4 linked regions of the Elephas maximus indicus genome follow. The protein of the gene in region 1 interacts with the protein of each later gene in a biochemical or structural test. Links are inferred from orthologs where the notes say so. Each region holds a gene or a part of one and is shown on either strand. Other genes may lie near its edges.

What was found.
Region 2: the proteins of SGTA (region 1) and UBL4A form a complex in vitro, tested with the Homo sapiens proteins (3 studies listed by BioGRID, with this or other methods). The link is inferred for Elephas maximus indicus from reciprocal best matches to the Homo sapiens genes SGTA and UBL4A.
Region 3: the proteins of SGTA (region 1) and BAG6 form a complex in vitro, tested with the Homo sapiens proteins (4 studies listed by BioGRID, with this or other methods). The link is inferred for Elephas maximus indicus from reciprocal best matches to the Homo sapiens genes SGTA and BAG6.
Region 4: the proteins of SGTA (region 1) and HSP90AA1 form a complex in vitro, tested with the Homo sapiens proteins (2 studies listed by BioGRID, with this or other methods). The link is inferred for Elephas maximus indicus from reciprocal best matches to the Homo sapiens genes SGTA and HSP90AA1.

The regions. Positions count from the first base shown.
Region 1 is NC_064821.1:3,524,126-3,532,103, reverse strand, and holds the start of SGTA (small glutamine-rich tetratricopeptide repeat-containing protein alpha), read left to right. Parts: upstream 1-4,457; 5' UTR 4,458-4,534; intron 4,535-4,547; exon of another isoform or gene 4,548-4,654; intron 4,655-7,978. UniProt on the Homo sapiens protein: Co-chaperone that binds misfolded and hydrophobic patches-containing client proteins in the cytosol. Mediates their targeting to the endoplasmic reticulum but also regulates their sorting to the proteasome when targeting fails.
Region 2 is NC_064846.1:1,935,253-1,942,013, reverse strand, and holds UBL4A (ubiquitin-like protein 4A), read right to left. Parts: upstream 2,409-6,761; 5' UTR 2,316-2,408; coding exon 2,268-2,315; intron 2,041-2,267; coding exon 1,935-2,040; intron 1,701-1,934; coding exon 1,474-1,700; intron 1,357-1,473; coding exon 1,246-1,356; 3' UTR 1,107-1,245; downstream 1-1,106. Other genes in the region: SLC10A3 (P3 protein), read right to left, coding at 3,497-5,044, 6,314-6,393, 6,650-6,680. UniProt on the Homo sapiens protein: As part of a cytosolic protein quality control complex, the BAG6/BAT3 complex, maintains misfolded and hydrophobic patches-containing proteins in a soluble state and participates in their proper delivery to the endoplasmic reticulum or alternatively can promote their sorting to the proteasome where they undergo degradation.
Region 3 is NC_064819.1:93,182,096-93,189,985, forward strand, and holds the start of BAG6 (large proline-rich protein BAG6), read right to left. Parts: upstream 3,546-7,890; 5' UTR 3,526-3,545; coding exon 3,431-3,525; intron 2,981-3,430; coding exon 2,860-2,980; intron 1,721-2,859; coding exon 1,603-1,720; intron 1,491-1,602; coding exon 1,291-1,490; intron 1,051-1,290; coding exon 997-1,050; intron 848-996; coding exon 773-847; intron 165-772; coding exon 1-164. Other genes in the region: APOM (apolipoprotein M), read left to right, coding at 5,966-6,079, 6,472-6,626, 6,920-6,993, 7,090-7,188, 7,355-7,453, 7,873-7,890. UniProt on the Homo sapiens protein: ATP-independent molecular chaperone preventing the aggregation of misfolded and hydrophobic patches-containing proteins.
Region 4 is NC_064828.1:111,071,812-111,079,463, reverse strand, and holds the start of HSP90AA1 (heat shock protein HSP 90-alpha), read right to left. Parts: upstream 3,590-7,652; 5' UTR 3,479-3,589; intron 3,016-3,478; coding exon 2,854-3,015; intron 2,755-2,853; coding exon 2,388-2,754; intron 2,050-2,387; coding exon 1,916-2,049; intron 1,603-1,915; coding exon 1,282-1,602; intron 1,068-1,281; coding exon 902-1,067; intron 739-901; coding exon 548-738; intron 429-547; coding exon 281-428; intron 51-280; coding exon 1-50. UniProt on the Homo sapiens protein: Molecular chaperone that promotes the maturation, structural maintenance and proper regulation of specific target proteins involved for instance in cell cycle control and signal transduction.

The sequences.
Region 1 (7,978 bases):
GTGCGCGCCGAAGGCGGGACACTGACGCACGCCTGAGCCCCGCCCACACGTCCTGGCGGCAGGCCCCCGCGGACTCACGCCTAGCTTACGCCATGACCCTGCCAGCTCCTCATTGGATCTCAGAAGCGGGAGGGGCGGAGCCTCGGGCTCCACCCCCGGAGCCGCTGGCCGTGTCCATGGAAACCGCACGTGGGGGTGGAACCTCTGAGCGTCTGGCCATGAGGCTTTTTTGGCGGCAGCTCTTCACGTGCGCTTCTAGCGCCAGTATTTTTTTCTTTTTTTAAATAAGTTATTTGATTTTTGTTGTTGTTGGGAATATACATAGCAGAACATATACTAATTAAATAATTTCTACACATGCAATTCAGTAACGTAGGTTACATTCTTCAAGTTGTGCAACCATTCTCACCCTCCTTTTGGAAATTGTTCCTTCCCCATCAGTATAAACTCATTGCCCCCCTAAGGTTCCTACGTACTGTTTTGAGTTGCTGTTGTCAATTTGACTCCATATTGATAGCTCTTTTAAAGCCTAAAACTCAGTATTAATTTGTGCTTGTCTCCTTTCTAAGATGCCCTGGTGGCACAATGGTTAAGCACTCGGCTGGTAACTGAAAAGTCGCCAGTTCAAACCCACCAGCTGCTCTTTGGGAGGAAGATGTGGCAATGTGCTTCTGTGAAGATTATAGCTTTAAAAACTCTATAGAGCAGATCTACTCTACCCTCCGGGGTCACTGTGAGTCAGAATCAACTTGATAGCAATGGGTCTGATCCTTTCTAACTTATAACTGTGTATTCAGGTAGATTTACAAGTCTGCTCCCTCATGGAAGATCCTCACGTTTTTGTATGTTATCACACTGCCAGAAACCTACCCAGCTTCTAAAAAAGAAAAAGTTGCTGTCTAGTCCATTCCTACTTGTGGCAACCCCCTGTTTCAGAGTAGAGCTGCACCAGGCACCACGGAAAAAGCAAAATTACTAGAATTAAATGGCAAAAAAAAAAAAAAAAACCTACCCTTTTTATTCTGCAAAAGAAATGAAAGTAATCGAGGGTATTAATCACACCTATGATTTAAATAGGATAGAAGCCAATTGAGAGAACACTCTGGTAACTTTAGCCGGATGCTGGTGGTCAGTTGTCAGTCATCACAGAGAATTTCCTGTCACTCACTGTAATGAACTGAATCGTGTTCCTCAAAAATACGTGTTGCAGAGCCTAACCCCTATGCCTGTAGTTATAATCCCATTTGGCCATGGGTTTTCCTTGTCATGTTAGTGAGGCAGTGTTACTGTAGGAAATCCCTGATGGCACAGTGGTTAAGAGCCCAGGCTGTTAACCAAAAGGTTGGCAGTTCAAATCTACCAGCTTCTCCTTGGAAATTCTATAGGGCAGTTTTGCTCTGTTCTATAGGGTCGCTATGAGTCAGAATCAACCCAATGGCAAAGGTTTGTAGTAGTGTAGGGTGTGTATTAATCTCTTTTGAGACATAAAAGAGTAGATTAGTAAGCAAGCAACAAGCAAGCAGAGATGGGGGACTATAGATACCAGGCCACAGGAAGATCACCAAGGAATGGAGGGGCAGAAGCTATAATGAGACAATGAGCTTCCCCCAAAGCTGACAGAGAAAGCCTTCTATAGCCGACACCCTGAATTCACACTTCTAGCCTCCTAAACTGTGAGAAAATAAATCTGTTTGTTAAAGCCACTCACTTGTGGTATTTCTGTTATATCAGCGCTGGATAACAAAGATGCCACCCTCTCACTCTTTCAACTCCAGCCACAGTTTTTTTTTTTTTTTTTTTAATCCCTTGGGCCAAAAAAGAAACCAAACCCTTACCAGACAGTCAGAGTAGAACTGCTCCATAGGGTTTTCTTGGCTGTACTCTTTATGGAAGCAAATCGCTAGGCCTTTTTTTCTGCAGCTCCGCCGGGTGAGTTCAAACCACCAACTTTTGGATTAGTAGCCAAGCTGAAACCATTCTCGCCATCCGGGGACCTATATCTTGAGCACACGAAGCTTGATTCTAACTCATTCTTTGTCCCCCCACTTCCCTGTGATAAAAAAAAAAAAAAAAAACAGTGCCATTGAGTAGATTCCGACTCGTAGCAGCTCTGTAAGACAGAGTAGAACTGCCCCATAGAGTTTCCAAGAAGCGCCTGGCAGATTCGAACTGCCAACCCATTGGTTAGCAGCCGTAGCACTTAACCACTATGCCACCAGGGTTCAAGAGGCAGCTGACCTAAAATAAAATGGCTGAACTAATCCTAAGATTCAATGTAACCTCTAACACAGAATCCACCTGCGTTGCTTAGGAACCAACACTATCTTTAAGGAAATGATTCTGTTTGAGGTCAGTATAAGAATGTGGATAAACAAACCTTATCAAAACTCTTTTGTGTTAGAGGTAGTGTTTAACAAACTGTTCCTGGAAGTGTGGTCATGCTATTGTTTTGTGACAGTCATGAGACCCCATCTGAGACCACCTATCTTGTTTGTAACTATGCCTTTTAGCCAATCAATGTATTCCAGCTGTATTAACGTAACCAATAATGTTAAAAATCATTCTTCATTTTGTCCTGCCTTTGACAGACCTCAATCACTGTGTCTTAGTCAGCTAGTGCTGCTATAACAGAAATACCATAAGGGGATGGCTTTAACAAAGAGAAATTTATTCTCTCACAGTCTAGTAGGCTAGAAGTCCAAATTCAGGGCATCAGGTCTAGGAAAAGGGTTTTTCTCCCTGTGGGCTCCGAAGGAAGGTCCTTATCATTAATCTTCCTCTGGCCTAGGAGCTTCTCAGCTCAGGAACCCCGGGTCCAAAGGACGGGCTCTGATGTTGGAGCTGCTGTCTTGGTGGTATGAGGTCTCCTGTCTCTCTGCTTGCTTCTCTCTTTTATATCTCAAAAGAGATTGGCTTAAGACACTATCTAATCTTGTAGATTTCATCAGTATAACTGCTGCTAACCCATCTCATGAACATAATAGTGATAGGATCAACAACACAGGGAAATCACATCAGATGACAAAACGGTGGACAATCATACAATACTGGGAATCATGACCTAGCTAAGTTGACAGATATTTTGGGGGGACACAACTCAATTCATGACACGCCATAAACCAACCAGAATATTGTGCTTTGTAGTTCCTCCCACGGCACTATAACTGTGTGCACCCCCTCCCTTGGATTCCTTGAGCTTCAGACTCTGAGTTTCGCATGATTCCCAATCAAATGATTCATTGGCTTCAATAAATCTCTTTGACTTTAACAGAGTTAGAGACTCTTTTCTCTACAACACCTGTGCCTGAGCACTTTCCCTCTGCCTTTTGTCATCCTTCAAATCCGTATCCAAAGGAGAGACCTTCCCTAACCATCCCAGTACATTTAGCTCCCCAATCACAATTACCCAAAAAACACCCATTGCCATCTCATAGCGATCCTATAGGACAGAGTAGAACTGTCCCATAACGTTTCCAAGGAGTGCCTGGTGAATTCAAACTGCTGACCTTTTGGTTAGCACCTGTAGCTCTTAACCACTACACCACCAGGGTTTTCAGTCACAATCACAGCACCCCGTTTTTTCTTCATCGTGCTTGTCACTAAGTGAAATTTTAGTTTACTTATGAACTATCTTACGCGTTTATGAAGTCCCTGGGTAAACAAACTCAGCTGCTAACCAGAAGGCTGGAAGTTTGAGTCCATCCAGAGGAGCCTTAGTAGAAGGACCTGATGATCTACTTCTGAAAAAATAAAAAAAAACAACACAAAGTAATTGGTGGCGCAGTGATTAAAGCGATCGATTGCTGATCTGATGGAAAGGTCAGTGGTTTCATGAGAGGTGGAAGTGGGAGGAAGATGTGGCAGTCAGCTTCTGTAGAAATTAACAGCCTTGGAAACCTTATGGTGTCGCTATGAGTCTGGAGGGCAGTGGGTAATAACAATTAGAGCAGACACTTTGTTGGTCTTTATAGTTGGTTCGCAGTTAACATTTATTGAGCGAATACAAATATCTGTATTTGCATGTATATCTCTGTACTCCTTTATGTCTTACGAATTGAGTGAATGAAAGAATGCATTTTAGGGTGAGTGCGTGGATGGGTGGAGAAATAAATTAACAAACTTAGCGAGTAACACTCCTCCCATTCATCTAGCGCCTGTGAAGTTCTGGGGTACGGGGTGTCCAAACGCAGCTGCACCACGTGGCCGGCTTGGAGCACGTGGTCGGCTAGGCTGTCTCGCTGGAGTCCTCCTTCGTCCCACAATGCACCGCTCTATCCCGGCTCTAAAGGGCAAGCCCTGAAATGCGTCCCCATTCGGTCAGAGAGGTCAGTTGCCCTAACTACCATCTTGAGTCCGCCTCCAAAACGCGTCACATCCGACCACGCCCTGCTCGATCATTAATGCGCCTGCGCAGGATGAATGCCGCCGACAGCCGGTTGCTTCTGCGCAGGCGTCGCGGCCGAGGGGCGGGGCCGGGCGGCGCCGCGGTGCGCAAGCGCAGCCGTCGGTGGGTCGGGGCTCGACTGTCTGAGAGGTGAGGGGGGGTCCGCGACGAAGCGGGCTGGGTTGGAGTCCTCGGTTCGGGGTTCCTGGGGTTCCCGAGCCTGGAACGAGCGAGCGATCTAGGGCCGGAGTCGCCACGGCACGCGAGTCTGTGAGTGGTTGGTGCAGAGGGGAAACTGAGGCAGGGCGGCTTCGAGGCGGCCCTGCCTGTCATCGTCTCGCTGTCCCGGTCCCCGGGGCTGGAAATGCTGGTTCGCAGGCCCATGGCGAGGACGAGGGGCGCGGTAGGCGCTGGCTAAGTGTTCGCTGCTGTTATCGTTCTCATTACCTGCTCTGAAACGCGGTTCGTTTGAATCGGGAACCCCTTGGTGGGCGCTCAAGCCCCGCCGCTGCCGCTTTCTCTCTGGGAGACCTGGGCAAGCCGTTGGATCTCTTGGAGTCTCAGTTTTCCCCTCTGTAAAACGGGCATAGTCACAGTCCCTGTCTCGGGAGGATTCTTGAGGGGGTTAAAGCCACCTGCCAGCACCAAGTGAGAGCGCTCCCAAGGGTGGTGGTGGTTTGCTGCCTTCGAGTGGGCTCCGACTCAGTGGTGACCCCACGTAGAGCAGAAGGAAAGGTTGCCCCGTCTTGCACCGTCTTCATGGTAGTTGGGCTGCTGGAGTCCACGGTTGCAGCCACTGTGTATTTTAAGTGCCTTCCATCCTACAGGGCTCATCTTCCAGCACTACATCGGACAGTGTTCTGTTGTGATCCATGAGGCTGTAATTGACCAATTTTTGGAAGTAGATCGCCAGGCCTTTCTTCCTAATCTTAGTCTGAAGGCTCTGCTGAAACCTGTCCACCGTGGGTGACTCTGTTGGCATTTGAAATACCAGGGGCATAGCTTCCAGCATCACAGCAACATTCAAGCCCTTATAGAAGGAGTGACGGTGGAGTGCTAGTCCAGAGAGTTAGGTCTTATTTTACATTTAGGGTCTTTGTGTATTATGCTGGAGTTAGGAAAAATCTGGCATTGAGAACCAGCTGCATCACCCGCTCGCTGGCTGTGTAAACTTGGGCAAGTCCTCCTCTCCTCTCTAAAAAAAAACTCAGTACCAACTCGTGGCACTCTCCTGTGTGACAGTGGAACTGCTCCATGCGTTTTCTTGGCAATAATCTTCACAGAAGCGGATTGCCAGGCCTTTCTTCCACAGTGCTGCTTGGTGGTTTTGAACTGCCAACCTTTCAGTTAGTAGTTGAGCACTTAACCATTTGCGCCACTACCCGGGATCTTTCTCTCTAAAATAGAGATTGTAAAAGTAGATGTCCCACGGGGTCATTGTGTGGGTTAAATACTCATAAAATACTCTCTAGTCAGGTGCTTGGCGCTTGGTAAGAGCGTATTAGAGATTGATTGTTCTTGTTATTGAGTGCCATCTGGTAATATTTGTGCAGTCTGCATCCCTGCACCAGAATGATTTTCCTGGGTTTTTTGTTGGTTTGTTTCCGGCTCTGATTGTTTTGTCTGCTGTTCCTTTCCCTAGACAGTGGTTGTCAACCAGGGTAATTTTGCCTTTCTCCCCAGGGGACACCAGGCCATGTCAGGGGACATTTGTGGCTGTCACAGGTTGGGGGAGGTGCTCCTGGTATGGAGTGGGTGGAGGGCAGGGACACCACTCAGAACGCCACAGTGACCAGGACGGCCTCACCCCCAAGAATGACCTGGCCCCAAATGACGGCAGTATCAAAGTTAAGCAGATCAGTGATTCTTCACCAGCCTGGCCTTCTCAGGGGGGTCTGTGGACCCCCCAAATTATGTGCAAAGTTTCATGTGTGCCCCCATTTTTGTGGGAAAGGGAAAATGCTTTTAGAGTTTAGTCTCTGGACTCAGACTGCCTGGGTTAAAAACTCTTTGATTTGTAACTTCTTAGCTCGGTGATTTTGGGGGCCCCCTCCCCACCTTTTGTTGTTAGTTGCTGTCAAGCTGGCCTCCGACTCATAGCGACCCCATGCACCAGGGGGATTGGACCGTTGCGATCCATAGGGTTTTCACTGGCTGATTTCCAAAAGTTGGTCGCCAGGCCTTTCTTCCTAGTCTGTCTTAGTCTGGAAGCTCTGCCGAATCCTGTTTGGCACCACAGCACCATGCAAGCCTCCACTGACAGACGAGTGGTGGCTGAGCCTGAGGCGCATGGGCTGGGAATTGAACTAGGGTCCCCCACATGGAAGGCAAGAGTTCTACCACCAAACCACCCCTGCCCCCTCCCTGTCTTTCTAAGCCTTAGTTTTTTCTTCTGTGTAGTGGGGGGTTGTGATAGCGTTCATTCTAGCTTGTGAGGATGAAACAAAGCAGGGCTTCAGCAAAGTATGACTCGAGGGCCAAACCCACGGCCAGGCCGGTTCATTTGCACGCTATCTGTGGCTGCCTTCACGCCACAATGGTAAAGTTGAGTTGTGGCAACAGGGACCTCATTTATGGCTCACAAAGTTGAAAGTATTGAAAGTATTTACTCTCTGACCCTTTTCAGAAAATGTTTACTAACCCCCGAAATAAGCTGTCGCATGTAAAGAGTCTGGCAAGATACCTGGAAGGTCCTAGGCACTCCAAGGATGTTAGCCGGTTTATAATTAAACCTTCCTAGAAGGTTTTTTTTTAGAAGGATAAGTGACTCTGGCCGCGTTAGCCACTGCCCCAGGATCAGAGGATCTCTAAGACTGGTGGTCTTAAACCAGCGGCCACCAAGTCACCCCGACTCATGGTGCCCCCCCATGTGTCAGAGTAGAACCGAGCTCCGTAGGGTTTGCAGTGCTGATTTTTTGACAGTAGACTGCCAGGCCTTTCTTCTAAGGCAGCTCTGGGTGGACTCAAAACTCGAGCATTTTGGTCAGCAGCCCCAAGCTCTTAGCTGTTGTGTTACCCAGGGAGTCCTCAGCCGTCTTACTCAGTTCTGTTTTTTTTTTCCAAGACCCAACAGTGGCCCTGCTAGGAAATTCTCAGGAAACATTTGAAGAAATAAAGGGGCTTGTTCATAATTAGGCAAGGCAAGGTTTGTTATCTTGTCTTCTGACGAGGAAACCAAAACCCAGCGAGAAATGTCTTCCCCCGAGGAACTTGATGGCGCACCTCTGAACTCAACGTGATCTAACGTTTTCTTGCGTCCATACGGACCAGATGCTGCTGGATGCTGGAAACTCAGAGGAAAAACTGACTTTCCAAGGGCTCACAGTCTGGTGGGAAAACAGGTCCGTGGTCGTCGTTAGCTGCTGGGCAGTTGGCCCCTGACTCATGGCGACCCCACGCCCAATGGTTGAAACGCTGCCCTGTTCTGCACCGTCCCCATGGTTGGTTGCGGTTGTGACTATTGTGCCTCGCAGGGTTTTTATTGGCTGGTTTTTCAGAAGTAAATTGCTAGGCCTTTCTTCCCGGCCTGTCTTAGTCTGGAAGTTCTGCTGAAGCCTGTCCGCTGTGAGTGACCCTGCTGGTATATGAAATACT
Region 2 (6,761 bases), on another chromosome or scaffold:
TGCTGCCTAAAACAAAATGAAAGCATTGGCACATTTTCACGAGTGGCTGGACCACGCATGCTGTTTCTGCTCCCAGCCCTCGGGTAGTCCAGGGGCTTGGGTCTGGTCTTCACAGCCTTCGCCCGTGGGCCTTGGGCGGGGAGTTCCCACCTAAGCCACCCTCCTGCTGTAAGAGCATGGAGACATGGGAAGCCCCAGGGGGGACAGCGGCTGGAGCAGGGTCTCCATATGCACATGGCTTCCTTCCAGCCTCTACCACCCAGGGCCCTCCTCAAAGGAACGGGGCTTAGATGACCTTCTGCACTCTTGGACAGGGCAAGGTGAAGGAGAGAGAAACCGGTGCCACCCAGTCCCCGCTTCTTCAGGGGAGGAGGGGCGTGGAAAGGGGAAGGCCCTGCACACGTGCACCTTCCGTGCTGTGATGAGTGTCCTCAAGCAAGTCACCTGTCACCCCTCATGGGCGAGAACTGACCCCTTCTGGGAGGAGACAGAGGAGAGCCGTGACATGAAGGGCCAGGACACCCCGTCTCTGGTCCATGCTTGGCCATTGCTTCCTTTTTGGCCTCAGTAGTTTATCAAACCCAGGGGGAAGCACTGCTGCAGAGATTCCCCCCTGCTGGGCTGGGGTGAGGTTGAAGGAAGATGGACTCAGATTGGAGGAGTGGCCCTCACTGAGCAGAGCTGATGGCTGGGGCCCAGCATGGCACAGGCACATGCCCCAAGTCACACCACAGAGCCCCGATCTACTTTTCCTTCATCAGAGCACATGGGTTGCAGCGGCTCTGAGGAAGGCCCCAAGGCTGGCTGTCATATGCCAGGACATGTGTCACATCAGCTCCTGTGAAGCTGAGTAGAGGGCAGGTGGCAGGACTGAGCCCCAGGCATCAGCTGCCTCCCCTTTCAGGCCTGGGAGGGAGTCGATGGAGAATTTACTCTCAGTAGGCTACCCATGAAACACCACAGCTCAGCCCTTGTAACTGTTGTAAACAACCACTTGCCCTGCTCCACTGTGAGGCACTTCTAGAAGGTGGCTGGACTCAGATTCTGCCCCCATCCCCTTCACTGGTATGAGCCGGTGTTGTCACACTTTTGTGAGGGGTTGGTGAGTGAACCCAGGTCAAGTGCTTTGACAGTGACTGGCACCTAGCAAGAGCCAGTACCAGTCAGCTGTTTTTATTTTGTTAACATTACGAGAACACATTTAATGCAACATGCAGCCATGCTTCCTCCCACATGCCAAGGATCTTATTTGGAGAGCCCCTTCTCCGTAGCGTCGGTCACTTCAGGGTTCAGGAAGCGGCTTGCCAAGCGTTCAATGTCATCCATCGTCAGGCGGCTCAGGGACCTCTCGTACTCCTGAGGAGAGAAGGCCAGGAGGATTTGGGCTGGGGGGGGGGGGGCAGTCAGCAGAGGCTGGAGCAGGGGGCACTGGAGTGGCAGAGGAGGTTTGGGCTTATGGGGCTACATTCTCACCCGCTGGAGTTGTTCCTGGACCCTGTTGGCATCTGCTGAGCTGAAGTGTCGGCCCAGAACTTTGGCGATCAGCTGCCAAGTCTCTGAGGGTGGAGCTAGTGGTCGGGGCTGGACCTCTGCCTGCCTCCGAGCAGTGCCTTGGTCCAGTAACACCTTCTCCAGAGGCTTGACCACTAGGTTGAGCTTGGAATTGGGGCCAATGCTGTAATCTGAAAGTCGTTTTCCATCTGCCAAGGAGAAATTGATGAAGTTCATTACCTCCAGCTGCTGTAGTTGCCCAGGGAAGTGAGCCCAAGCAAGGGCACTGCAGTGTGTCTTGCTGCCGGTGTGTCGGCTCCCTCTGTGCGGGCAGCACTGATAGCCGCCTCGCTGTGGAGCGTCACACTGCCACCAGTCTCATTCTCGACACCCCACCCCCGCCTTCCTGCGGGGCTCCCTGGGCGTCTCCACTCCCCTGGTACCTGCCAGGGCTTTGCCCTTGAACAGCAGCCGCTGCTGGCGCACAGGGACGTTCAGTTGCTCGGAGACCAGAAGCTTCAGTGAGGACACCATCTCGTCCTCTGACACCTGAGCGGACCGAGTTTGGGAGGCAGGGGTTGAGCCTGCAGTTCGCTGGGCTGTGAAGCCCTCGCAGGCCCCTCCAGGACTCAGCTCTCCAGGCCTCCCCGCCCCGGCTGGCCGACCTGCCCTGTCCCCTCCCCGAGCCGGCGCCGCCCCTGGTCCCTTCCCGTCCCCGCGCCTGAAGGCGGTGAGTGCACGAGTGGGGCAGGGTGGACCGGGCCTGGCGACACTACCTGCAAGATGCACTCTCGGCCCTGGAGCGCCTTCACCGTCAGCTGCATGGCGGCGGCGGCGGCGGCGGCGGCGGCGGCGGCGGCGGCGGCGGCGGCAGTGTCCACTTCGACTGACGCGCACCCCAACGGCCCCCCGCCGCGCGCCACCGCCACCGCCCCGGGCGCGCGCCGGAACCGCCCTGTGCGCCCCACCCTAGCCCGCCCCCTCCGCGCTTGCCCCGCCCCCGGCCCTCACGCCCCGCCTCCCCTCCTCGCCCCGCCCCCTCCGGCCAGCGCGCCCCGCTCCACCCTCTGCCACTCCGGGAGGAGGAGTTCCTCTGGTGTCTGGCTTTGCCCACGCCCAGGGCCGGTCCAGACTGCCGGATCTCCGCCCTCCTCCTCCACCCCGCTACCGTGCGGGGAAGCTAGGCTGACGCCAGCCAGCCAGTACTGTATGCCAGGGTGGAAAAGGGGAATGAGTTGGCCAAGTTTGCTTCATCTGGGAGATGGGGCTTGGGAGAAGGAATGGCTGGGAGTAAGCTCGCCCCGTGGAACTTCAGGCCCTCCAGACGCTCCGACTGCTGGTGGAGTAGCTCAGTAGCAAACCTAGAGTCTGCCTCTCAGTGAGCCCAGCCAGGGAGGGGACAGGTGTCCACAAGTCCTGTCCACACTTGCTCCCCTGTCTGACGGTTTTGTCCCACCTTCCTTTTAGTCTGGCTGCAGAAAAACCAACTGCTGTGCTCAGAGCAGGCAGGGTAGCCCCGCTCTGCCCTCATCCCCCCTGGCGCTCATATTCTAGAGCAGAGAGAGGCCCACCTCTCACAGGATGGCATGAGGGTGGGGGGCTGACAGAAAAAGAGCCTGAAGCTCATAAACCACAGACCTGGACGAAGCCTCCTTTCCAACTCCCCCAAGCACACGTGGTGCAGGGTGTCACCCAAGTTGGCCCTCCACTCTTGCCCACACCTCCCCAGCCACACTCTTCTTACCTCACTCCCACCCCCAGGCCCCAAAGGGCAGAGACTGGAAGGGACCCAAACTTGCTTCTCTCTTTTATTGAAATATATTTCTGGGCAGTGCCCACCTACCTAACTCAGCATGGCCTCTTTGGCAATGAAAGCTGAAGAATACAAAATCAGTACAAAAAATAAGCCTGGATTTTCCAAGTGCATAGTGCATGAGCACTGAAGGCCTTTGGTACGCGAGAACTGCGGAGAGTGGGGAGGGGGGTAGAAGCTTGGCCCGGAGCCTCAGTGAACTGGGAACAGGCTGCTATAGATGAAGTGGCCCATGACCAAAGCCAGCATCTCTGAGGTGCCACTCAGTGCCACAATGAAGGGGGCCTGGGAGGCAAAGTCAGCTTGGAGGTGGCGGAAGGACAGCTGCAGCATGGCCAAGGCCAGCAGGCTGTTCTGCACCCCGACCTCAATGCTGACCGTTCGCCGCTGAGCCACAGGCAGCTTCAGACATGTGGCCAGGCAGTAGCCCACCAAAAGGCCCACCAGGGGCACTGTGAGGCCCACCAGCACGATGGGGAACCTGACGCCCGCCAGGATGAAGATGCCCATGCGGTAGGCCAGAAAGAGGCCACCCAGGAGGAGCACAAAGCTGAAGGGCTTGATGACCTGCAGCAGCAGCTGGGAGAACCTGGGGAGCTTGGACTTGATCACCACACCAGCTGCTATTGGAATGGCAATGAACAGCAGCGTCCCCAGGATCTTGGAGATGGGCACGTGAAGGGTTTCATGGATGCTGAGAAGGTGGCTGTAAATAGCTGAGGACAGTGGCAGGAAGCCAGTGGCAGCCACCGTGGAGATGAAAGTCATGGAAATGGCAAGGGTGACATCTCCTCCAAGGAGGAGGCTGAAGAGGTAGCTCCCGCCACCCCCGGGCGAAGAGCAGGTGATGATGAGGCCCAGGGCCAGGGCCTTGGGCAGCATGAAGACCTTGGCCATCAGGAATGCATAGAAGGGCATGACCAGGAACTGACCCAGGAGGCCCAGCAGCATGGGCTGGGGGCTGTGCAGGAACCCCTTCAGAACCTCGAGCTCCACTTTGCACCCGAACGAACACTTGTTGACGAAAATGAGAGGCAGGAGCAGGTAGAGTATTGGGTTCTCTGAGAAGTGGGCCAGGTCAGCACTGAGGGTGGCTGGCGCGTCTTCAGCAGGCAAGACCTTGATGGAGAAATCACTCCGTTCCTCGATCAGCAGGGGCTGGGCCTTATGCAGGTCCATGAGCTGCAGGTGGAGGGGTGCCAGCCCTGCCAGGCCAGAGTGGATGCTCACCACAAAGCCACCCCCACCACCCCAGCTTACGGCACTCACGTTCTTGATGGTCAGCACCGCTGTGTCCAGGGAGGTGACCCTGAGCGTGGGGCCAAGCCTAGTCCCATTGCTCTGAGCCGGGTACTGGCTTGAGATCACGATGATGCCTTCACTCTCCTCGGGGAACTCAAACTCCATCACTGAGCCGTCCCCAATGCTCAGGTAGTGGGCCCTCATCAGTGGTACAGTGTGGCCCAGAGCTGTGCTGAGGTTGCCACTGGCTGTTCCTCGGACTCTCCATGGCAGGCTGGCAAGAAGCAAGGCAGCCTGAAGCATACTGAGGGGGCCTGGGCAGCCACCCACCCTGCCCAGGCCAGGCCTCTCTAACACCATGGCTTCTCCTGAAGGACCATGCACCAGGGTTCTCTGCAGCTTAGGAGGGCTCCCCAGCCTGTACCGTCGGCTGGTCCTGAGAACAGTCCATGGGCAAGTCCAGGTACTGGGCTGCTTTCCTGGATGGCAGAGCTCTCCCTGAGGAGAGAAAGGACACAGAGAGGAGGCTGGTGACGGACAGCAGCATGAGCCTGTGAGACTTGGCCCTCTGGGAGTGGTAGCATAGGGATCTGGAAGCCTTAGCAGAGCCTCTTGCGTCAAGCCCAGGAACAGAAGGGCAATGCTTGATGCTGGCCCTTAAGTGCCATTCGGCTGTCCCCTCCCCCAACACAGCTGCCTCAAGTTTCCCACATGCTAGTGTGGCCCCCCATCCCTTGCCCAGAGGGTCCAGCTACAGATATGAGTTACTGTCAGCCGCTGATAACTACTAATTTCCCTGGACATGCCCTCTCTGCCCCTCCAGGGGCAGCGTAGAGATGCCCCGATTCCAGTGGGTTCGAGGAGAGCCACCCCCAGGCCTGTCACCACTAGCACCACATACAAGGCCTGTTTAATCCCCATGGGCTCCGAAACACAGTGACAGTGGGCTTGCTGTGATACCACAACTGGATGTGATCCCGAAACACTGCTTGGGGATGACCAGGAGGCCCGCCTGAGGAGAGCAAAGGGTGCTGACTGAGCCTGATCTGGGAGCGCTTGAGAACAGGCCAGGGAGTTGGAGTGCCTCAGGCTAGGCACAGAGGCCAGCAGAACAGTGTGGGCAGGTGGAAGGCCCCAGAGGCTTTTGTCTGCCACCAGTGCTCTGTTGGGAAAGGGGCTGGCATGACTACCTGGCCTGCCCTGCCTGCTGGCAGTGGTGAGAAGGGAGTCCTGAGGAGGAGCAGGTCCCCTTCCCCCAAGGAACTTGCTGGAAGAAGCAGCAGGAAGGGGTCAAATAGGGTCACATGTCTGCTGAGGAGCTTCCCCTCCTCTGGACAGAGCTCCTACTCCTCTGGCAGTCTCCAAATATGGCTACTGGAGTCGCAACCTCATATTTGGAAAGCTGTGCTCGGAGGCTAGTCTCCCACCCCCACATGTGCCCCCACCAGCATCTCTCACTACCAGTGTGTCTGTGAGTGCACTGGGGTGAAGGGTGCCTCATGGTGAATATTGTTGCATCACCTGCTACAACTGGGGCAACACAGCAGTTTTGCATCGCTACTTCTGGTTGCTTCACACCTTGGCAGAGCCACTGGCTTCTCTAGTTCCTAGTAGTGTTTGGCCCTTGCTTCCCCTTCCTCACCCCCCCACCCCACCAGTCTGGGTACAGAGGGAAGTGGAGGGCAGCTTAGGCAAAAGACTGGTCCTTGGAAAAGCGTCCCCCAGGATGACATGGGCTCTGCTGGTTTGGGAGCTTCAGGCACTTACCCTGGAGGCCTTGGTCCAGCCTTGCGTCCCACCAGAAAAGAGGGATGCAGGAACACAGAGATGGGGGCATGAGAAGGAAACTGGAGGGATTTAGAGGAAAAAGATAAAGGCTCCCAGGCCCCCGTCTTCCCAATACACCAATACAGCTACCAGCTTTAAGTCACCGCAACAGAGGTTCAGCTCAGACCCTAAACCATTTCTGCTGCAGGGCCGGAAGAGTTTGACCAGAATGCACCCCAGGGCGGGGTATGGATCTCGACCCCGGACGGCTTTGTCCACACGGGTTTTCAGTGTTGAGGGCTAGTTGGCAGTGATGGTCTCAGGGCTCCTCCCTACCTGGAAGTCCGGAAGTTGTCTCATTTTCCATGAGCAGAGCTGCTTCTCACTCGTGGGCGCAAACCAGGGAGGGAAGGAGCGCGCGGCCGTCCCGCAGCCGGCAGGTTGGGGG
Region 3 (7,890 bases), on another chromosome or scaffold:
GCTGGGGCACGCTCCTCTACTTCTTCTGCCTCCATAGGCTCCCGAGGAGGGGCTTCGCTTTCGGCGGGTTCTGATGTTTGAGAGCTCAAGGCTACTGGCTCCGGGGTGGCAGTCGGCGTCTGTGGGGGCGGCTGACTGTGCTGGGCTTGGGGCCCCCCTCGACACTGAAGGTGGAGGAGAGTCAGGACACCAAAGGCAGGATGAGACTACTGCAGAGCATTACTCGGGTCAAAAGAGACTGAGCAGAGAACATGCTCTAACTAGGTTTTTTGGAGGCAAAGCTTTGTGTCTACATTTTTGACTCCCCAGGAACTAGTAAAAGACACAAATCAGGAGCATAATAAATATTTATAAGATTCGTAAATAAGCTACTAACAAAAAGTACAGACTAGTTTTTGTATCTCCAGGACAAAAGAAGAACAGGCGACAAATTACAGCTGCAATTCAAACTAACGGAGTTAAAACGTTCTGATGTTAAAAGTAATAAATAAACTAAAATAGGCGGAACCTTTTTTTAATGGAACAAACAGAGACCGTCAGAATTATCTAAAAAGTCTGAAACAAACTCCCCAGATATTAGATGCCAAGAAGACTAGCAGGGACAAGATAGCCCCACAAAGATACTTTTTCTGCTTGAAAGAATGAAGACTGCAAAAAAGAGACCAGATTAGGGAAGCAGTGGATATAGCCAGTCATGCCCCCATCCCCAGGATGACAGAAAGAGGATGCACAGAGAGAGACAGACACACACTAGCCAGCCCTGCCTGCTTACCTCCATCCGGGATAGCAAAGTCTGTATATCCCTGATCATGTGCTGAGCCATCACCAGCCGTACCCGGGGCTCACTCTATGGCAAGAGAAGGGATGATCAGGGCAGGTCTGAGATGAAGCCATGAGCTCCACCGCCTACTAAACGAGGTCCCAGCCATCTCCACCCCACCTCAAGGCCTCCTTCTCCCAGATCCCCTTCCCTGACCCTCCCAGGCCCCGTGATACCTGAATCGGGGCCTGTTCCATGTTGATGTGAACATCCACAGCAGAGCCGTCACTCTGGGGAAAGGGTAAGTGAAGTTGCTCTGGGAGAAGCCAAATACTAAGGCCCCCATACTTTCAACTCATTCTCTGGAGCCCCGCCCCCTTTCCCTTCAAAGATTGAGGCCAATATCAGACCAAAGGAGCCTCCAAACTCAATCTATAGACTAAGACGCCTGTCTTACAAGCGCCCTGCTACTACCACAACCAAATCTACCCTTACCCAAAAAAACCCTCCCAAGTGGAACACAAGCTTACAGGAAGATTGAAGGTTCCAACCATGACATAGCTGTTCGCATTCCGGTCATGAACAGAGGCCCCAGGACCCCGAGTACCAGGTGGGGGTCCCCCACCATGGGTAGCAGAGGGAGACCCTGTCCCAGAAGATGCCCCAGAAGAAGGGAGTTGAGTCTGAGGAGGAGCCCGTTCCACCAGATGGATAACCTTTCCTCCAACATCTGTGGTGCAAAAAGATAGACACACACCAAAACATCAGGTAAAGCCATAATGTCAGCACATCACTCTGCACACCAGCTTCAACCTCTGAGTTGCCATCCCCCACCCCCTTACTGTATTCCTGGAGCTTCTTATCATCCTGCAGAACACGGCCCTGGTAGATGAGCCTTTGTTTCTCAGAGGGGATGCTGACAGAGGCAGCAATGTGTTCCTTAAACTCCTTTACATTCATCTGCAAGGAGGAAAAGATAAGAATAGGAATCAGGAAATGGAGGGAGGAAGAAGGAACAGAGGAGTGACAACTGACTCATGCCCAGATAAGGAGCAAAAACCGTAATAAAATCACTACCTATGTTGACTGTGAGATAGTTACCATGCAAATTTCTGAGAACAGATACAGACAAAATATATCAAGACACAGACAACAAACTCAGATAAGCTCAGGTTATATGCCCAGAAAAGAATTACATAGCTGAAAAACAGAAAAACCAACTGACATTCCTTTCTCTCTTTTTATGCTTGACTCCCAAGGGAACGTGTGTCTCAAGATGCCAGAGGGGATCACCCTTCCCGAAACACAAAATGATACCAGAAGTTTCTTTACCACAGACAACCCTGTAATCTCAAAAATAAGAGAAATGACAAAGAAGATGGGTGAAGGTTAAGAAGGGAAGATCCAACCAAGAAGTAAGCAAGAAGGAAACAAAAAACAAAACATTTTTCATAACTAAACAACTCTAGGAAACACCAAAATGTTTACGTGACATCTAACCTCAAAAATCTACGTGGTTTTCTTAAATACTCATGGAGTACAATGTTTTAAACACCCATGAACCAACTCAGTCACAATTTTGTCTCCAAGTATCACCGGAGTAAAAACACAGGTAGCTGTATCCGTGATATTAAACTCAAGAAATTAAAAGTATGCCACATTCATAATTCCACCCAGCAGTCTATATGAGCTCTACATTCATTATTAGCTCTGATTTCTAGCCTTAAAGACACGGTATACACCTGGCCAATTTTTGTTCTTAAAGCACACTTCTGTTTTGGGTCCGTGTGTTGTTTGAGCTATGGCTGCCCCTTTGGGCTGACGATCACCTACAATGATGGGATACAGATGGCCCCTTCCTCTGTATTTCCCTCTGCAATGAGTTCTAAAGAAAAAGAGTAAGGCAGAAAATGTGCCTCACTCATCAGAAACTCTACCTTCTCATTCAACGAGAAACACCAGAAACGTTTTGTATAAAATACCAACAAACAAATCAATGTCAGAAAATTTGGGGGACGAGAAAATCAGGTTCTTCCCTCAGGCTAAGGAGCCTATAAGAAAAAGCTAATCAATGTCTTCCAACAGCAACAGGGTCTCACCTGGGCCCCCACAATAAAGGTCCGAGTCTGAGAGTCCAAGGTCTTCACCAGCACCTCCAGGCTGTCAGGCTCCTCCATAGTGGTGCTGGTACTATCATTGGGTTCCATGGCCGACAGTTCTCTAGGGAAGAATGGAGGGAGATCCGCTGTAGCCTGGAGCAGATTTTATATACCCGGAAGCCTCCCCAGCCTGAGTCCCCGCCCCAATATCTAAAAAGTTTCTCCCACACAAGCACTCGCACTCACACCCGCCCCCATCCCCCTTCCGATTCCGGGGCAGAGAAACACAAAGGGCAAGGGATCGACGGCAAAGGGAGCTGGAGGACGGGAGGTGGGAGGGGCTCCAAGACGCCAATCACAATAACGAGGGCCAGTCGGATTAGAAAGCAGGGGAGGAAGCACGAGACCAGTGTCATCACCGGTCGCAATAGGACAAGGGCCCTAGGGATCGGCAAACCCTGGGACACTGCGAGAGCGGGGGTCGCGCCAGACACTGCGGAGAAAATAGCTTCGCGCACGCGCGCCACGCCCATCGAACCCGCCTAAGTCACGACAGACGGCAGACACTCACGGGGGGCGGGACCGGCTAGCTGATAGCCCCCCGTCTTCCGCCTTCCCTCGGCGATCCAGCAGAGCGGCACAATCGACATACAGCCAAACACACATACAAACACACACACACTCTCACATACACACTTCCCCGCAGCTCCACCCCCGACTTCTCCAAGGTACCGTCACTTCCGGTCTTCCCAACCTGCCACCGACGGCCACTTCCGTTTCCCCGATAGTATTTGGGGATCGCAAGGCGGTACTTCCGGCTCCCCCCAGGTCCCCAAACTTTCCTTTTGTGGGGCACGACGAGAAAGTCCGCGGCCCCCAACGGAATGGATCCCTGGGGGCGAGACGGGCCGGGGGCGGCCTAGATGGGAAGGAGCCGAGCACCCCGAGGATCCGCCACGGCCGTCGCCCGGGGGACCGTACTGCGCCTGCGTGAGTTGCAGTACGCATGCGTACGTCCTTAAGCACGTCCCCACCCCCCGCTTCTCATGTTCGTGCGTTTGAGCGATCAAAGGTTGAGGTGGCCACGATAAATGCCTGAAAATAAATTACTATCTGGAACTGTACGACTGCCTGGAGAGACGCTTTGGACTGTTGCATGGCTCTTGAAGTTTGAGTATTTGAGACTATGCCTCATTTAATCTATTTTAAAGTCCTGGCAGGCAGAGAATTTCAGGCGGCACTGCTCTGGCCACCTAAAACCCTGCCTTCCAGTCAGTGTAGACCTCGCTGCGCCCTTCGGCGCCTCAGCAAGTTACCTTTCCGCAGGCGGTTGGTGGCGACTCGCGTATTGTCCGTTCTGTTGCGTGAGGTCCTATCGTTCGTCGGTCCTCAGTTCTATCCGGTGGGCATTTTGTGGGGTCCGGGCGCCATGTTCCTTACCGTGGGCTTCGCGGCCGAGGGGACACGCCATCCTTTCGGAAAGTTAAGGATGCTGCCCTACCTTTCGGGAATTTTGTCAAGAAACCCGTCCAAGTTTGGGAATTGTGGCAAATGGAGTCAGATGGGACCGAAAGACGAAACTCTGACCCAAACGGTTTTGGCAGGCCAGGGCTGCCTGAGTTATTGCTCCTCTCTGCCCTTCCCCCAAGGGCAGGGTCTTCGGCCCTGCGACGGTACGACCCGTCCAGCTAAACCCCTTGTTGCTGAGATGCCTGCCTCAGGGGGTGCTTTTCCAAAATTTATAGTTTTTACATACCCAAGTCCCAAATGAAGAGGTCTAATAAGATCTGTCTAGTGAGCACTTAGTGTCAAGCAATATACTAAAATTTCACGTACTGTGGTCACAGTAAATTTTTCGTCTGAGATATTACATCTGTTTTATAGGTGAGTACACCTAGGCGAACATAAGTGGCAGAACTGACAATCAGTCCTAGGCCTGCCAGACTCCGGCTCCAGCACTTACACTTTGCTACCCCAATAAATTGTATTTTTTTTTTTTTTTTTACTATAAAAAGTTTCAAACATACCCAAGTAGAATAGTATAATGAACACTCATATACCCATCACCCAGATTATTTTTTGTTTCTTTTTTTTTAACTAAATCACAATCCCACAGCAACCCTCATTGCTGAGGACAATTTTTTTTTTTTTTGCAGTCTGCGTGTTATAGAGAAGCCCCACCTCTCATTGCATTAACTCTGCACCACCCACTTGGCACTATTTAATTACTACTTCTTGCAGACATTACCATTAATTATGGTTAGTAATTTACTTTGAGCTTACCACATGCCGGCGTTTGCTGGTCTTTATGTATATCATCTCATTTAACCCTATGAAATTCATATGTGCCCATTTTACAGATGAAGAAACAGGCACAGAGATTAATAAAATTGCTCAAGGTCTAATAACTAGAGTTGGGGGTTGAACCCAGGTCCTCCTAACACCAAAGTCTTTTCTCTTACCCGTTAGATTATATAGCCTCTTGCTTAGCAATAAAGGTCAGTGAATGAACCCATTTTGTCAGCAAACTTTTACAAAGATACAGTTTCCCCAATTACAAATTCCTGCAGAGAGAAAGTCTCCCACCCATCCCACCCCAGTACCTGGTTCATACCTGCTCTAAAGCACTTATCAGGTTGTATTGCAATGATTTGTTTGTACAGCTGGTTTTCCCCAGACTTCTTCAAGGCCAGGGACTATGTCTTATCCATCCTTATGTCCCCAGGGCTTAGCCAGTTCCTGGCAAACAAATGGGACTCAAAACAGGTTGCTAAGTGAAGGAATGAAAGCAACCCCACTTCACTGCTGCACAACATAGCAGATATCCAGCTCAGATGCGGATTGAAAACCCAAGCTCTCATAACTCCCGAGAGACCCTGAACATACCAGGGTATACTGTGGAGTGGCTGCATCTAGAGGAGGGGGAGGAAGGTCCAAATCCAGACTTGGGTTGGAAAACAAGGTTGAAGTTACTCATTAGCAGGTGAAAGGGTCAAGGGTCAAGGCAAGGGGGCTGGGAGTAGAGTAGACTGAGCAGCCAGCAGGGGAGAGAGCAGTTAAGGCACCAGCCACCCCACACAGGGCATCGGCTCCCTCCTGCCTGAAGATGTTCCACCAAATTTGGGCAGCTCTGCTCTACCTCTATGGAATTCTCCTTAACTCCATCTACCAGTGCCCTGAGCACAGTCAACTGACAACTCTAGGAATGGATGGGAAAGAGGTACAGACTGGGAATGAGGGAAGCCTATGATAGAGGCTCTCAGGGACTCAGCTGGGTGGCCTAGGATGACTAGAAGCCATGTTGGGAAAGGAGAGTAGGAAGAGGGTATAAATGTTGGGATGATGAAAGCAAGAATAAGAAAAATACTAGGACTGTAGTCATCGATGTGGAGACATGGCAGAATTGGGAGTGGGCTTGGTTAGCCAGGTTGATTGGGGAGGAGCAAAGGGGAAATGTCATTGATGACTCTGTGTGATAGATCCATTACCCAATTAGAAAGAGGAAAACAGCCCACACCCTACCCCTAAGTCTTCTCCTACTGGCTGATGAAGAGGTTGAATGGATCCTGTTATGGGACCCACCCTCTTTTGCTCCCCTCATTGTCTCTCCAGTTCCCAGAGCCCCACCTTGGCCGGTGGTACTTTATCGCAGGGGCAGCTCCCACCAGGGAAGAATTGGCAACTTTTGACCCTGTGGACAACATTGTCTTCAACATGGCTGCTGCCTCTACCCCGATACAGCTCCAGCTTCATGCTACCATCCGAACGTGAGTGATGAGGAGGCAGAGGCACCAGTGGGTGCAGTCTCTGACCAAAGTGTGAGCACCCACCACCAAGAGCTGTGCTCTTGGCTGATACATTCACTGTTCTTGGCCCACTTGGTTCAAAAGCTGTATTAGTTTCCCTCTGACAGAGAGAGATGGACCTAACCATCCCTTGGTAGCCTGAAACCCAAGGAGATCCAGGCTTCAAGGAGGAATAAGATGGAATAAATGGAGGCAGATGCTGTGTGGCCGGGGTGTCACTCGGTTTCTCCTCCATGCCACTACCACCTATGCAGGAAAAATGGGCTCTGTGTGCCCCGGAAATGGACCTACCACCTGACTGAGGAAAGCACTCATCTCAGAACTGAAGGTTGGTTCCCCAAGTCCCCTGACCCTCCCCAAGTCCCCTAGGCTTGCTTGGTTTTGCATCTCTCTCCTCGCCCCCTCCTCCCACCCACCCTCACAGGCCGTCCTGACATGAAAACCGAGCTCTTCTCCAGTTCATGCCCAGGTGGAATCATGCTGAAAGAGATGGGCCAGGGCTACCAGCGCTTCCTCCTCTATAGTGAGTGGGGTGCAAAGCAGGAAGGATCAGAGAGGGCAGGAGGGCCCCTCACTCTGGGCCCTATGATATGACTCCAGGGAGGGTTGAGTGCTTCCATGAGGCCCTCACCAGGGGCTGTGCTGAGGAGCAGGGGCTCAACTAGCCTGACCCTGCTCTGCCCTTCTAGATCGCTCACCACACCCTCCCGAGAAATGTGTGGAGGAATTCCAGTCCCTGACCTCCTGCATGGATTCCAAGGCTTTCTTACTGATGCCCAGGGATCAAGGTGAGGGGTTAAAGTCCTAAAGTAGAGGACTAGGACTGAGCAAGTCTTCTGGGAGTGCTGGATGAAAGGGGCTCATGTGACATCATAGGACGACATGGCCAAAGCTGACATCATCAGAATGGCTATGTTGACACTCCCATTTGTGTCATAGGCTATGATGGCACCAGAGGCAGGTGGCCAAGGGCTGTGATGTCACTTGAGGAACCCAGGCTGGACTCTGGGCTACTCAAAAGAGGGGTTTCTGAGTTTGCATGGGTAAAGGGTCAGTCATGGAGGGAAAAAGTCCTCAGAGATCCTTTTTTGGAAAAAAGGAACATGGCGGAATAAAGGAACGCATTCTTCCCTTCTTCATTACCACCAATTTTGCTTCTCTCCCTGTTCTTCCTTTCCATCTTTTTTTTTTTCCTCCCTCCTGCCAGAGGCCTGTGAGCTGTCCA
Region 4 (7,652 bases), on another chromosome or scaffold:
CCGGAGCCGTTCCACAAAGGCCGAGTTAGCAACTTGGTCCTTGGTTTCACCTGAAATAACGTGAACAGTTACTTGCTCTTTCCTGCTGTCTAGCCCGGTCAGATGCTCAGCAGATTTAAGCACACAGGCAGCGGCCGGCTCAAGAAATCAGCATCTCCTGTACAGCAACACCAACTGTGCTCACTGATATGTGGTGCCACGTGGGGAGCAAACACCCCACGGGCCACCTATGGGGTTACCAAAACAAAGTGATGGGACGCTAACCTTTACTGTTCCTTACCAGTGATGTAGTAAATGTGTTTCTGGTTCTCCTTCATTCGGGTGCAGTAGTCCTTGAGGGAAACCATCTCATCACCTGAAGCCGATGTGTAGTATCTTAACAGCTCAGAGAGCTTCTTCCGATTTTGAGAGTCTTCGTGTATCCCAAGCTGAAAGACGACACAAGTGTTAGTTTTAAGAAAACTTCCCCTATGTTAAAAAAAAAAAAAAACTGAGAACGTGGGAAACTACTTTGAAAAACGCTAACGGGTCAAACGTGTTTACCAACCTTAATGTTTTTAGAGAACTGCTCGTAAAACTTTTTGTAGTTCTCTTTATCTTCTGCCAGTTCAGTGAAGAGTTCTAAGCACTTTTTGACCAAGTTCTTCCTGATAACTTTCAAAATTTTGCTTTGTTGCAACATCTCACGGGAAATATTTAGAGGGAGATCCTCAGAGTCCACCACGCCTCTAATGAAATCTGGGGGGAGAAAAAAAAGACCAAACACACTCAAGTACCAAACTGACAAATACGTAAACGTGTGAATATAAACACGTTTTTTCCATATATTAAAACTTAAAGAACTTGGGACCTGACAACTTCTGTACATCAGTGACCACCCTTCATCTCCAACCATACTTACTCAGGTACTCAGGAATTAGCTCCTCACAGTTATCCATGATGAAAACTCTGCGTACATACAATTTAATATTGTTCTTTTTCTTTCTGTTTTCAAACAGGTCAAACGGAGCACGTCTTGGGACAAAGAGAAGGGCTCTGAATTCTAGCTGTCCTTCAACTGAGAAATGCTGCAATTACAACAAACACAACTCACTAAAAATGCCAATGCACAACGCAAGTGACTTTCACTCAAAGCTCCATTACCCCAGCAGGTAGACTGACAGCTACATCAACCAAAAGCACTTTGGAGAAAGGAAAAAGTTCACAGTACCTGACCTTCCAATTTTAGACAGACTATCTAGCAGGGGCAGATTAGTTTTGAAGCACTCAGCCCTCACTCACCTTCACAGCCAAGTGATCTTCCCAGTCATTGGTCAAGCTCTTATAAAATTCTCCATATTCTTCATTGGTAATATCATCAGGATTTCTGGTCCAAATGGGCTTTGTTTTGTTGAGTACCTCTTGGTCGATGTACTTTTCCTTTATCTTCTTTTTCTTCTTCTTGTCACCATCCTTTTTCTCTTCTTCCTCTTCATCAGAACCAACATCTTCTATTTCAGGCTTATCATCGGACTCCTTTTCTTCTTTTTCTTTCTCTTCCTCTTTCTCTTCCTTTTCTTCAGCCTCATCATCACTCACTTCTTTATCTCGTTCTTTCTCCACCTCAAAAAGACATGAAATCAACATTATCCCTGCATTCCAGAACTAAAAAACAGGCTAAAAAGAATAAAACCCAAGTTAGCTAACCAAACTGAGAAACGCTAAGTAGCCAAAAACTTTTCATCAGTACTTAATTATCTACTTAATAGCTCTAAATACTTTTGACAGGACTGAGTAAACTGTTGCTTAGTCTCCAAAAAAGCTTCAAATTAATCTAGAAAATGGTACTAGGCCTTCTCCTCATCAACAAACGTTGAGAACTAAAAGTCAATGATCTACACGGAGACATTCACTTTGCAGCTATCTAGGAACTTACAAAGAGAGTGATCGGATAGCCAATAAACTGGGAATGTTTCTTCACTATCTCCTTCATTCTTCTCTCCTCCAAGTACTCGGTCTGGTCTTCTTTCAGATGCAGAATAACCTTGGTTCCACGGCCGATGGGTTCACCTTTAAGTGAACAATAAGACAAAGGGACTCAACTTTAATCTTTCAGCCCAATTACAAAAAAAATTAACTCAGCTCTTAATGTCAGTCAAGAAGAATGACCATAGCTAATCCCCCAATTATGACTACGAAGCAGGATACCATTATTACAATAAGCCTCCCACAGCAGTTAAGCACCTTGCTCTAAATAACCAGCACACCAGACACTAGTAAGTGCTCCCTAGTTGGCGCCTGACTACATGGGGCAAAAAGCATTCACAAATTTCACAGCAACCTCTGGATGCTACAGTACCTACAGTACCCCCCAACCCCCGAGATAAACCCACCCACCAGGTGCCTACCTGTGTCTGTCCTCACTGTGAAGGACCCTCCTGCCGAAGACTCCCATGCATACTGTTCATCATCATTATGTTTGGTGATCACGGTCACTTTCTCAGCAACCAAATACGCAGAATAAAACCCCACACCGAACTGGCCAATCATGGAGATGTCTGCACCAGCCTGCAAAGCTTCCATGAACGCTTTGGTACCCGACTTGGCGATGGTACCAAGATTATTGATCAAGTCGGCCTTGGTCATCCCAATTCCAGTGTCCACAATCGTGAGGGTTCGGTCTTGCTTGTTGGGAATGAGATCAATATGTAGCTCTTTCCCAGAATCCAGCTTACTGGGATCCGTCAAGCTTTCGTATCTGATTTTGTCCAGAGCCTATTCATCAAAAAGACGTTATCGTCAAACACACTGCCCCCAAAATGCGGACATTTTCGCTAAAACAATAACCAAACTGTGGCCTGAAAAGAGACTTACATCTGATGAATTTGAAATCAGCTCCCTCAGAAAGATTTCTTTGTTGGAGTAGAATGTATTGATGATCAAGGACATCAACTGAGCGATCTCGGCCTGGAAGGCGAACGTCTCCACCTCCTCCTCCTCCATGGGCTGGTCTTGGGTCTGGGTCTCCTCGGGCATCTGGGGAGGACACGGCGCAGCGTGAACACCGCACTACGGGCGCGGCCGGGTCCCCGCCGTCCGGCGGGCGTTGCTGGCGCCCCGTTTCAGCGAGATCTGGGGAGACCGGGCGCCGGGGCCGGCTGACAAAGGATGACCTCATTCCGAGCGGGGAGCTGCGGGCGGCGTGTGCGCGCTCGCGGAGGCCGCTTCGGGCAACGGGCGCCGCTCCCGGCCGTGGGGACGCCGCCATGAGCCCCGCCGGGGGTCCCCGCGACGCGGCCGGCGGAGGAGCGGCCGGACGGGCGCCCCCGAGAAAGGATCCCGCGGCCGGCGGCCCCTCCCCCACCGCGCTCCAGAACATTCGCGGACCCGGCCGGCCGGGGGAGGCCACGCAGGCCGCCCCGAAACGTGGGCCGAGGGGCCGCGGCTGGACTCGCCCGGAGGCCCCCCGCCCCCCAGGGACCCCCAAACGCCCCCTCACCTTGGCGAAAGGACGGCACGGGCTCCGAGACACAGCGGCACCAGGACGCAGAAGCAACTGGCGCGCCGCCCCCGCGCCTCCCTTATATAGACGCGGGCCCGCCCAGCGCGCGGCGCCTTTTCCAGAAGCCTCCCGAACCTTCCGGAAGAACCCTCCCCAACCGCCGCCGCGGCCGCGCGCCCACGCATGCGCTCTGGCCCGCAGCCCCTCCCCGGCCCCTCCGTTGGCGGACCGCCGCGCCGCCCCAGTGCGCCTGCGCGGCCCGGAAAGCTCGGGCACGGCTCGGCGCTTCCGGGGCCCGGCCGCCCGCCCGGGCGCTCCGCCCCCCGCCGCCGGGCGCCCTCCCCGAAACCCCTCCCCCGCCGTCCCCGGGCGCCCTCCCCGGACCCCCCCCCGCCGTCCCCGGGCGCCCTCCCCGGAACCCCCCCCGCCGTCCCCGGCGCCCCGTTTCTCCCCCAAAGCTGTCCCATGGGCTCCGCCCCCACCTCGGCCACGCGACCTGCTGGTTTCCCGCCTGCCCGCGCCCTCCGAGCCCGGGGCCGTGGGCCCGAATAATGAGCGCGCGTGGCCATGTTGTAAATTAGAAAGTCCCCGGTTGTCTACACTTCGGACCCCTCAGGGTCTGCAGCCGCCGGGGCAGCGCTTTGGTGGCCGGGTTAGGGGCCTGGGGCAGCGATTGAGGGGCCTGTTCGGGGCTTAGGGGTCTTGTGCTGGGTTTGGGGGCACTGGAACCCGGGGTCTGGCGCCCCCGCCCCGCTGGTTCGCCTTCTGGGGTGTCGTTATACTGGGGGCCAGGGCTCGAGCTGCAGCAGCGGGTGGGTGGTTCGGGGGGCTGGCCCAGGATGGGGCGTAAGTGAGGGGTGACGGGGCAGGCGGACAGTGGATACGAGGCAGACTGGCCCCCGTTTCTGACGCTCACTAGAAGGAAGCCCGGGAGGAGAGATCATTTTTGGACAAGAGGCGGCCCTCGGGGGTCCGGTGGCGGGTGATCCTGTGGCCTAGGAGGGAGCGAGGAGCGCCGAAGCCGGTCATTCGGGTGGTCTGCAGCACCCATTGCCACAGGGATCCCCGAAGACAGGCCTCCGCTGGGATTTCGGGGCTCCTTTCCCACCGGAAGGTCAGTGGGCTGCCCTGACCGCCTGTCCGTATGCCCCACTATGCGCAGGGGGAGGAGCGAGGAGCCTTGGTTAAATGACTAGCGTGAGGGCCCCAGCCCCATTTGCAGTCCTCTGTAAAAGGTGTTAAGACCACATCCTTCACACTTCGGGGTTCCTTCCGTCTGGAATTCTGGGATTTAGTGAACAAATTCATGTTCACCCAGCTAATCGTTACGTCATGATTTTTTTTTTTTTTTTTTTAACTTAATAAGGTGTATCCTTGCGAAGTACTTAACTTACGGCTTGGGTGATTAACTTACCCCAAAAGCCAATTTTTAAATGGGAATTCCCCAAGTGTTTTGAACAATGCCAGATCAGAGTTGAAAGAATCTTGGGGAGGTAGGTGCCTTAGACATTGTCCAGGTCAACACCTTAGTCTTGCCCAGGACACAGGGTTGGTGTCCAAGCACCCCTACCGGCCCACTTCCCTGCCTCAGTCCCCTCCCTCACAAACGCATCCCTTTTCCTGGGTTCTTTGTTCCTGGCTTTTCCCACTATTGACCCTCTTCTATTTCTTATATTTGAGGGCCCCGTACAACCCTCAGAAACCCTGGTGGTGTAGTGGTTAAGTGCTATGGCTGCTAACCAAAGGGTCGGCAGTTTGAATCCGCCAGGCGCTCCTTGGAAACTATGGGGTAGTTCTACTCTGTCCTATAGGGTTGCTATAAGTCGGAATCGACTCGACGGCACTGGTTTGTTTTTTGTTTTTTTTTAAGTTTATACAATCCTCTGGAAGCTCCTTACGTGTGAAGTGTGTTTAACCCAGGTCCAATGGGTGTGGGTGCGAACCACCTGTTAGGTTAGCTTGTTTACAAAGTTCACTCTCTCCACTTCCTTATCTCTAGGGAAACAGCCTTTCCTGCTAAACTCAGCCTTTCCTGAAGCAGGGTTTTCAAACCGGAGTAGAACTGCCCCATAGGGTTTCCAAGGACTGGTGGTGTATTCCAACTGCCGACTTTTTGGTTAGCAGCTGTGTGCTCTTAACCATTGCGCCACCAGGGGGAACTTTCTTTATAAGGTAGTTCTATTCTGTCCTATAGGGTTGCTGTAAGTTAGAATTGACTAGACAGTAATGGGTTTGGTTTTTTGGGTCTTAATCTTTACCAGAGCTCTGCTGGGTGGGTTTGAACCGCCAACCCTTAGGTTAGTAGCTGAAGACAAACCACTTGTGTCACCCACGGACCTGTGTGAGTGCAGTGTCTGTTATATGCACCTATGTATGCGTTGATAATGGGTCTAAAGTACTTGAGGCAAGTCTCACCATCTTTGCTTCTGAGGAGCATTCTGGCTGTACTTCTTCCGAGACCTGTTTGTTCTTCTGGCAGTCCATGGTATATTCAGTATTCTTCTCCAACACTAATTCACCAGCATCAATTCTTCTTGGCTCTTCCTTATTTCCTTACTCATCGTCCAGCTTTCGCATGCATATAAGGCGATTGAAAATAACCATGGCTTGGGTCAGGTGCACCTTAGTCCTTAAAGTGACATCTTTGTTGTTTTTTTAATGCTTTGGGTCTTTTGCAGTAGGTTTGCCCAGTGCAATATGATGTTTGATTTCTTCGCTGCTGCTTCCGTGGGCGTTGATTGTGAATCCAAGTAAAATGAAATCCTTGACAACTTCAGTATTTTCTCTGGTTATCATGATGTTGCTTATTGATCCAGTTATGAGGATTTTTGTTTTCTTTATGTTGAGGTGTAACCCATATTGGAGGGTATAGTCTTTAATCTTTGTCAGTAAGACATGTTATCTTGTTAAGTAGAGGGACAGTGAAAACGAGGAAGACCCTCAATGAGATGGATCGATACCGAGGCTCCAACAATGGGCTCAAACATAGGACTGATTGTGAGGATGGTGCAGGCACGGGCAGTGTTTCATTCTGTTGAGCATAGAGTTGCTATGATGACTCAGAACCAGCTTGAAGGCACCTAACAACATACACGTGCTGGGTCATGCTGTAAATGCATGTCTTACCTCGGGATGTGTTTGAATGTTCTAGACATGTTTTCCATGCAGCCTGGGCCGGGGAGCAAGGGAGGATTGAGAGGGAGAGGAAGCAGAAGGGGTGAGGGGTGGTTGGTATCTGTAGGCTCCTGTTGCTACTTTCACCGGTGCAGAGCGTTGACCACCCGGTGAGCCCTGCCTCCACCCATCCTGTCCTGTCACCCCCCGCACCTGGCACCTGGGCCCCTCCTGACATGGAGACTTGCTCGCCCTTTCTTCCCATCCAGCTTCTGCCATTGCCCAGGAGGTTTAAGATTTCTTAGAGATGAACTGTTCACCTCCCTGGCCCTGAAGTTATTTGACCCCATTTGTGGCTACCGGTTGTTGGGGGGGGGGGTCACTTGCCCTGCCGCCCACTCAACAAACTCACCCCGAGGTCACTTCCTGGATCTCATTGTCACCAGGAACCATTGCTTCCTTGCAAGTCCAACTTTAAATTTCTCCCTCCTTGCAAACCTCTGGCCCTTCCAGCTCTCTCCCCACTCAGCTGCTAAATAAAGGATGTTTCAAGCCCTGACTTCCTGTCTCAGAATCATTCCACACTGCTGACTGCCCTTCTCCGCTTGAGTCACTCTGCGTTGGGTTTTCACATCCTTTAGCAGGCCTTGGGGCAGAGCGCCCCCAGGTGGTCCTGGGCCGCTGTGCAGGTGATTCACCGTAGAGCTTTGGCCAGGATTCTAGCTCCACACCTGCATGCAGAGCTCATGAGCACCCCATACCTGACTGGCCCTCTCCCAGGGCCCCTAGCCAGGTGACTGCCCGCCACCTTCCAGAACCTCATGCATCTCCACAGGGGAGCCGGCACTGAGCTCTGCCATGCTCTCCATCTTCCTCCCCCACCCTGTCCCCACAACCACCTGCTCACCCCTGGATGACCTCTGCAGCCAGGGAGAGGGTCTAGAACTCCTATCTGACCCCATCAGTCCTTCCTCCATACCCCCTCCTCCAAAATCCTCACTCCCAAGAGAAAGGCACAGCCCCCAACCAGGCCACGAGGCCCTGCATGTTCCCCCCC